Linked DNA regions of Caenorhabditis elegans. Each later gene encodes a partner of the first gene's protein in a complex. Each region holds a gene or a part of one and is shown in the gene's direction. Other genes may lie near its edges. The genes, in order: coq-4 and clk-1.

Evidence for each region.
Region 2: coq-4 (region 1) and clk-1 share a complex: the UniProt entries of both Caenorhabditis elegans proteins name them as parts of the multi-subunit COQ enzyme complex.

The regions. Positions count from the first base shown.
Region 1 is NC_003279.8:3,867,547-3,870,790, forward strand, and holds coq-4 (Ubiquinone biosynthesis protein coq-4, mitochondrial), read left to right. Parts: upstream 1-1,667; 5' UTR 1,668-1,674; coding exon 1,675-1,970; intron 1,971-2,024; coding exon 2,025-2,111; intron 2,112-2,155; coding exon 2,156-2,308; intron 2,309-2,358; coding exon 2,359-2,518; 3' UTR 2,519-2,568; downstream 2,569-3,244. Other genes in the region: pgk-1 (putative phosphoglycerate kinase), read left to right, coding at 6-149, 205-329, 376-700, 752-1,411. UniProt on the Caenorhabditis elegans protein: Lyase that catalyzes the C1-decarboxylation of 4-hydroxy-3-methoxy-5-(all-trans-polyprenyl)benzoic acid into 2-methoxy-6-(all-trans-polyprenyl)phenol during ubiquinone biosynthesis.
Region 2 is NC_003281.10:5,275,855-5,280,011, forward strand, and holds clk-1 (NADPH-dependent 3-demethoxyubiquinone 3-hydroxylase, mitochondrial), read left to right. Parts: upstream 1-2,039; coding exon 2,040-2,175; intron 2,176-2,622; coding exon 2,623-2,763; intron 2,764-2,847; coding exon 2,848-2,943; intron 2,944-3,003; coding exon 3,004-3,116; intron 3,117-3,236; coding exon 3,237-3,314; 3' UTR 3,315-3,490; downstream 3,491-4,157. Other genes in the region: toc-1 (similar to Transporter Of divalent Cations), read left to right, coding at 1-341, 465-687, 1,181-1,588. UniProt on the Caenorhabditis elegans protein: Catalyzes the hydroxylation of the 5-methoxy-2-methyl-3-(all-trans-polyprenyl)benzoquinone at the C6 position and participates in the biosynthesis of ubiquinone.

The DNA.
Region 1 (3,244 bases):
GAAAAATGAGCTCCCTCAACAAGTTGGCTATCGACCAGTTGAACCTCGCCGGAAAGCGAGTTTTGATCCGTGTTGACTTCAATGTCCCACTCAAGGATGGCAAAATCACCAACAATCAACGTATTGCTGCCGCTGTTCCAACCATTCAGGTAATCAATTCAAATTTATTTCAAACAACATTTTCAATAATATTCAAAATTTCAGCATGCTCTTAGCAACGGAGCCAAATCTGTCGTTTTAATGTCACATTTGGGACGTCCAGATGGCAGACGCCAAGACAAGTACACCTTGAAACCAGTTGCTGAAGAGTTGAAGGCTCTCTTGAAAAAGTTTGTTGTATAATCTGATTTTAAAAAAATTACAAATGATTTTCAGAGATGTTCTCTTCCTCGACGACTGTGTCGGATCAGAAGTGGAGGCTGCATGCGCCGATCCAGCTCCTGGATCAGTCATTCTCCTTGAAAATCTTCGTTATCATCTGGAAGAGGAGGGCAAAGGAGTCGATGCATCCGGTGCCAAGGTTAAGGCTGATTCAGCAGCCGTAAAGAAATTCCGCGAGTCTCTCACCAAGCTTGGCGATATTTATGTCAATGATGCTTTCGGAACCGCTCACAGAGCCCATAGCTCCATGGTTGGAGTCGAGCACTCACAACGTGCAAGTGGATTCTTGCTCAAGAACGAGCTCTCCTACTTTAGCAAGGTAATTTTTTCCTCCAATTTTTCATATTGAATTTTATTATTAAATTTTCAGGCCCTCGACAACCCAGCTCGTCCATTCCTGGCCATCCTTGGAGGAGCTAAGGTCGCTGACAAGATTCAGTTGATCAAGAACTTGTTAGACAAGGTTAATGAGATGATCATCGGCGGAGGAATGGCCTATACCTTCTTGAAAGTTGCCCAGGGAGTCAAGATCGGAAACTCTTTGTACGACGAAGAAGGAGCGAAAATTGTGAACGAGCTTCTTGAGGCTGCCAAGGCAAAGGGAGTTCAAATCCATCTCCCAGTGGATTTCGTCATTGCTGACAAGTTCGCCGAGGACGCAACCTCGAAGACCGTCACCGCCGAGGAAGGTGTTCCAGATGGCCACATGGGACTTGATGTTGGGCCGGAATCTTCTAAGATCTTCGCCGCTGCCATTCAACGCGCCAAAACGATTGTCTGGAACGGTCCAGCAGGAGTATTCGAGTTTGATAAATTCGCCACAGGCACCAAGTCATTGATGGATGAAGTTGTCAAGGCCACCGCTGCCGGAGCCATCACAATCATTGGAGGAGGTGACACTGCGACCGCCGCCAAGAAGTATAACACGGAAGATAAGGTGTCTCACGTCTCAACTGGAGGTGGAGCCAGTTTGGAATTGCTCGAAGGAAAAGTTCTGCCAGGAGTTGATGCTCTTTCGCCAGCTCAATAATTTTCTAATTTCTATTGTTTATTCCTTGCCCAATAGTGTATTTGTATTTATTCTTTCTCTCTCTAAAAACTTTCCCACATTAGTCTTGAATTGTTCCCAGTGATTTCACAATCTTCCATGTAACATGAAGTATAAATAAAGTGTATAACTATAGAATAAATTAAGAGTTCACTTAATCGTAGAGTTTTTTAATCGTAGAGTTCCGTATATCTACCAATACATTATAGTCATTTTCCAATTGAAAAAAAAAGAAAAGAAATCAGATGTCTGCTCAAAAGCTATACGCATCGCATGTTCCCTTGGCACCGCTGTCTCGGATGCTTCTCGGGATTGGATCAGCAGTAACAGCGATCTCGGATCCAAAAAGAGGAGATATGGTGGCAGCGATGGGCGAAACTACTGCAATTGGACCAGTTTTAGAAAATATTCGAAAAAGAATGGAATCTGATGTTGTTGGAAAGCGACTTCTTCTCGAAAAACCAAGAATTTCAAATGGAACAATTGATAGAAAGTGGCTAAGACAGTTACCGGATGGAACATTAGGAAAATTGTATTCAAAGTATGTGAAAGTATATTAAACAACAAAAAAAAATTGAAAAACTTCAATTTTCAGCTTTCTCGATCGTTTGAACACATCTCCAGATGCTCGGCCCACTGTCAAGTATATCGATAATTTGGAGCATCTTTATGTTATGCAAAGGTTTTAAAAATCGACGTAAATAACAAAAAAATTCAAAATTTCAGGTATCGCGAAACACACGACTTCACCCACATCGCATTGGAGCAGAAAACGAACATGCTCGGCGAGGTAACAGTCAAATATTTCGAAGGAATTCAATATGGGCTTCCAATGTGTGTCACTGGTGGAATATTTGGAGGTGCCAGGCTTTTAACAAAGTAAGCAGAAAGAGAGACGAAACCATGAAAATAAAATTTAAAAATTCTAGAAATCGCCAAGAACTTGTCGACCGGAACCTCCCTTGGGTTGTGGAGCAGGCCACGAATGCACGATTCTTCATGGCTTTCGACTGGGAAAATCACTTTGAAAAGCAGCTCAGCGAGGTGCAGAAGGAGCTAAATATAACGCCATTATCTGTGAATATGTGATATAGATTTGATCTTGAATTTCTCAGTGATAATGAAAAAATGAATTAATTAATTTTTTTGGACCGGACATTAAATTTGAAAAATTTGGACCATTTAACAGTTACGGTATTACGATAACACTTAAATTCTGAGAATGCGTATTGCACAAAATATTTGACGAGCAAAATACTATCAAAATTTATGAATCGATCCTTCGATTTTGCAAAAATCGAAGGATCGATTCATAAATTTTGATAGTATCCCGTAGCGAAAACTACAGTAATTCTTAAAACTACTACTGTATCGCTTGTGTCGATTTTCGAAATGGATTTAAATATCGATAGAATACTAGAATTAAGCAAATATTAAGAAAATAATACGAAGCAACGCATTTTTTAATTTCGAAAATATTTCTAAATCGATACAAGCGCTACAGTAGTCATTTAAAGAATTACTGTAGTTTTCGCTACGGGATACTTTGCGTGTCAAATATGCTGCGGAATACGCATTCTCAGAATTTTGTGTTTACCGTAATACCAAAACGTTCTGCGACTGGCAGTTTAGTCAATTTCTTTGGATTTTGATAATTGTGTGATTTGTGAGAAAGGATTTATTGTACATGAAACTGAAAAAATGGAAAGAAACCGGTAATAGAGGCAAACGGGCAAGTTTTGGATGAGGAACGACGGGGGAATTGTGGAAAAATAAGCGAACTTCTCAATTATCGAATTTCAGGAGCTTCTGGAC
Region 2 (4,157 bases), on another chromosome or scaffold:
TCATTCGAGCACTTGTTATCCCCTGATCACCATGGTTCTCATGATGCTTCAGCGGCTCACGAACATGAAGTAGAAGAAATCGGCGGCTGGCCATATTTTGTTGGTTCTGCTGCATCTTCAGTGGCGCTGCTTCTCTCAGCATACGCTCTTAAAAATCAACCGTTTCAACATGTTCTTCAATCAGCAACGGCTTCAAGTTTGCAAGAGCATGCAGCTGATTTGTCCCATGCTGTGTGCTGGGTTATTCCTGGCCTTTCGCGTCTTCTTCTGCCAAGAATCAATTCAATGGTATTGTTAGCCTTGACGACTACTGGACTGAACTTGTTATGTGAACATTTCAAGTGAGTTTAGCTATCATACACCTCATTTGAAACATAATTTTGGCCTATAAATTACCGTTTTACGGCTATGACCTTCAATAAATCAGACAATTAAAAAAATTATATAAAATTTCTCATTTCTAGGCACGACTTCGCATGGGCTGATCCAGTATGCTGTCTGCTGCTCTCTGTTGCTGTGTTCTCAACGATGTATCCACTATCAACATATACTGGAATGATTCTACTTCAAACAACTCCTCCGCACTTGATTAATCAAATTGATCGGTGTATTTCTGAAGCTTCTCACATAGACGGTGTTCTTGAGTTGAAGAGTGGACGTTTCTGGCAACTGGATTTTAACTCGCTGGTAAATCTTCAGTTTAAAACATTTTAAAAAAAGTAAAATTCTTATTAATAATTCTCAAAATTCCTCAATTATTTGTTCAAAAATCTGTTAATAAGACGTCCGGTTTTTCAAAACTAACTTTTCGAGTTTTTATTTCGCGTTTCATAATTTACTAATTTAGAAAAAAAAAGTGTCAATGTATTGTAGCAATTGTAGCAAAAAAAAAAAGTTTCCATTTTTTTGGGATGAAAAAATTCGCAAAAAATTTTCCCGTGGTGGAGAGTTGAACTCAGTTACCGATTGAGCCAGGGAGGATGAGGAAATCCTAGGTCGAAAAGTTCGAAAAGGAAAAGCAATCGAAACATGGTCGAAATTTAAAACCATTTTTAACGCCTCAAAAACTGGCACTAAATTTTAGTTGATTTTATACAATTGGATTATTTATAAGATAATTATTTTATGTTAAAAAATCAATAAAAATATTTAAAAATTTAATCTTTTTTATTATTTTCAGGTTGGCACTGTTGATGTTCGTGTACGACGAGATGCGGATGAGCAGAATGTTTTGGCTCATGTAACCGAAAAGTTTTCATCTGTAATCACAGTGCTGACTGTTCAAGTTGTCAAAGACGCTGCATGGTCTGCAGGAGAGCAAGTTCCATATTCGAATGGACATATTCATAAGAGTGAAGGAAATCATTCACATGATAATGGGCATGGACATTCTCATGATCATAATGATCATGGACACAGTCATGGACATGATGATCATGGCCACGACTCTCATGGACATAGTCATGATCATAACGAACATGATCATGGTCACAGTCATGGAGGAAATAATGATAATCATGGACACAGTCATTCTGCAGGATCAGACAATCATCATGGACATAGTCATGACGGCGTTTTTTATCATTAGTGCTATAGATTTTTGTTGAAAACATCGGGTTTCGCACTATTTTGTATTTCAATCCTATTTTGTATTTCAATCCAATCTAGTTTAAGAGTTCAACCAAAAACTGAATTTCATGTCGTATTTTCTGTACATATCCGGGCTGGCCCAGTACATTTGTTTACCTCTTCTAGTGTTCCCGCCACCAAAACTTTAATTTATTTACTTTTTTCCTGGATTTTATAGCTGTGATTGTATTTTCATTTCCCATGAATTCTCATCTAGTGATATTTAAATTAATTAATTTATTCATTGTTCCCTGTTTTTCGAAAGCTTTGCTCCTTCTTTTTACAATTTAATTTTATAGAATACATTTTCCTTTAAAAATTTTTTTTTTGTTGACATTTTTAAAATTGGCAGAAACCATTGTGATAATGTTTTCAACACATAAAATTCCACTGAAAACGTTGAAATACAGATGTTCCGTGTAATAACCCGTGGAGCACATACTGCTGCTTCTCGTCAAGCACTTATAGAGAAGATCATTCGAGTTGATCATGCTGGAGAGCTTGGAGCCGATCGGATTTACGCTGGACAGTTGGCTGTTTTGCAAGGTCCTCACTTTTGACTGGATATGAAACAAAAAATGTTCGAAAAACTCGTTGCTGAAAACTAATTTGAAACGCAATTTTGCGATTTTTCCTTATCGAAAAGGTGTGCGCCTTTAAAGGGTACTGTAGTTTGAAACTTCAGCTGCTACGATTTTCATCGATTTTTCATCGTTTTCCCGATGAAAAATATTTATTTTTAGAAAAAAAATAGAGTTCAACAAATTTTTAGAAACATGTGTTTTTTAACTAAAAAATCGATTAAAATTCCGCAGCCCAAATTTGAAATTACAGTACTCTTTAAAGGGACATATATTTTTGCACTTAATAAAAATATGTCGTGTCGAGACCGGGTATCGCTTTTTTTTTACGAATAGATAACATCGCTTCAGAAATTTTTAAAAAACCATTTCCATTTTTTTAAGGAAAAAAATAAGGAAATTTTTTTTTCAGGTTCATCTGTTGGTTCAGTAATCAAAAAGATGTGGGATGAGGAGAAAGAACATTTAGATACAATGGAAAGATTAGCTGCTAAACACAATGTACCTCATACTGTTTTCTCTCCAGTTTTCAGTGTGGCTGCTTATGCTCTCGGTAAGAAGTTTGTGGATTTGCTGTAAAACGCTCAGATAATTAAGAAAACGCGTTTTTTGCCAAATTTTACTATTTACCTTGCAGGTGTCGGTTCAGCACTTCTAGGAAAAGAAGGTGCAATGGCTTGTACAATTGCAGTTGAAGAACTCATTGGACAACATTATAATGATCAATTGAAAGGTATTCCAAAATGAAAAATTGGAAAGTTTTTTAGAAAATAAAATTTTCTGAAATTTCTAGAACTCCTTGCCGACGATCCTGAAACACACAAAGAATTGCTGAAAATTCTCACAAGATTACGTGATGAGGAGCTTCATCATCATGATACTGGAGTAGAACACGATGGAATGAAGGTTCGTGTACGCTCCTTTAAGTGAATTTTAGTGAATTTTCTTCAATTTGTTTTTTTCCATCTAGAATCTTACAAAAGTAAAACATTGTAAAAAATATTTATCAAAAAAATAATTTTTCAGGCTCCAGCCTACTCGGCTCTCAAATGGATTATTCAAACTGGATGCAAGGGAGCTATTGCGATTGCTGAGAAAATTTGAACAATTTCAATAATGTGTCCCTTTTCTTCCATGGTTCTTTGCAAAATATCCCCATAGACGCTGCTATTCCCCAGATTCTAGATGATCCTCAACTCTTTGTAAAAACAACTTTTTTGAAAATATTTTCTCGTTAGAAATGTCCGACTGACCACTGCAGATAAACAATATTCTAGTTCTTTTTTTGAAACCAAAAAACCGAATTTTGTCAGAAAAAGAGGAAGTTGCTTCTTCTTTTCTTCTTCGAGAGCCATTTAGGCGTGGTAAACACGGCGATAAACAAAGTGGACACAAGGATTCGAGAAAAAAAGGAAACGAGTGGACAATGGAAACAGAAGTTGGGACTTCTCCAGTTGTCTGCCAACTTCTGATGATGACCAGAACTTTTTTTCTCATTTTTTTGAATTTTATATATCCTTAAAGTTGCTTCAATCAGGCTTTATATGAATTCAGAAGATATTGGTTTTTTTTTTCATATTACGAAAATTGATTAATTTTAAAGTAATGCGATTCCCCCAAAAAATTATTGATTTCGGTCCTGACACGGACAATACTTTTCAGCTACCGTATAAGCGATTACGGTATTTTTTCAATATTTTATGAAGCAAAATTTTGAGAATTTTGAGTCAAAAGTACGGTACCCGGTCTCGAAACGATAAATACTTCTGAAATACGAAAAGTTGTGCGTCCTTAAAGAGTACTATAGTTTGAAATATAACTTTCAAATTTTAAAGTATTCAAATTTTGGAAAAATGGTTTTATAAATTTCGAGAATAAATACAAGAAAACCGGAGAAAATTGCGAGCTAATCACGAGCACGGCAAGTTAATAAAAAATTTGATTCGG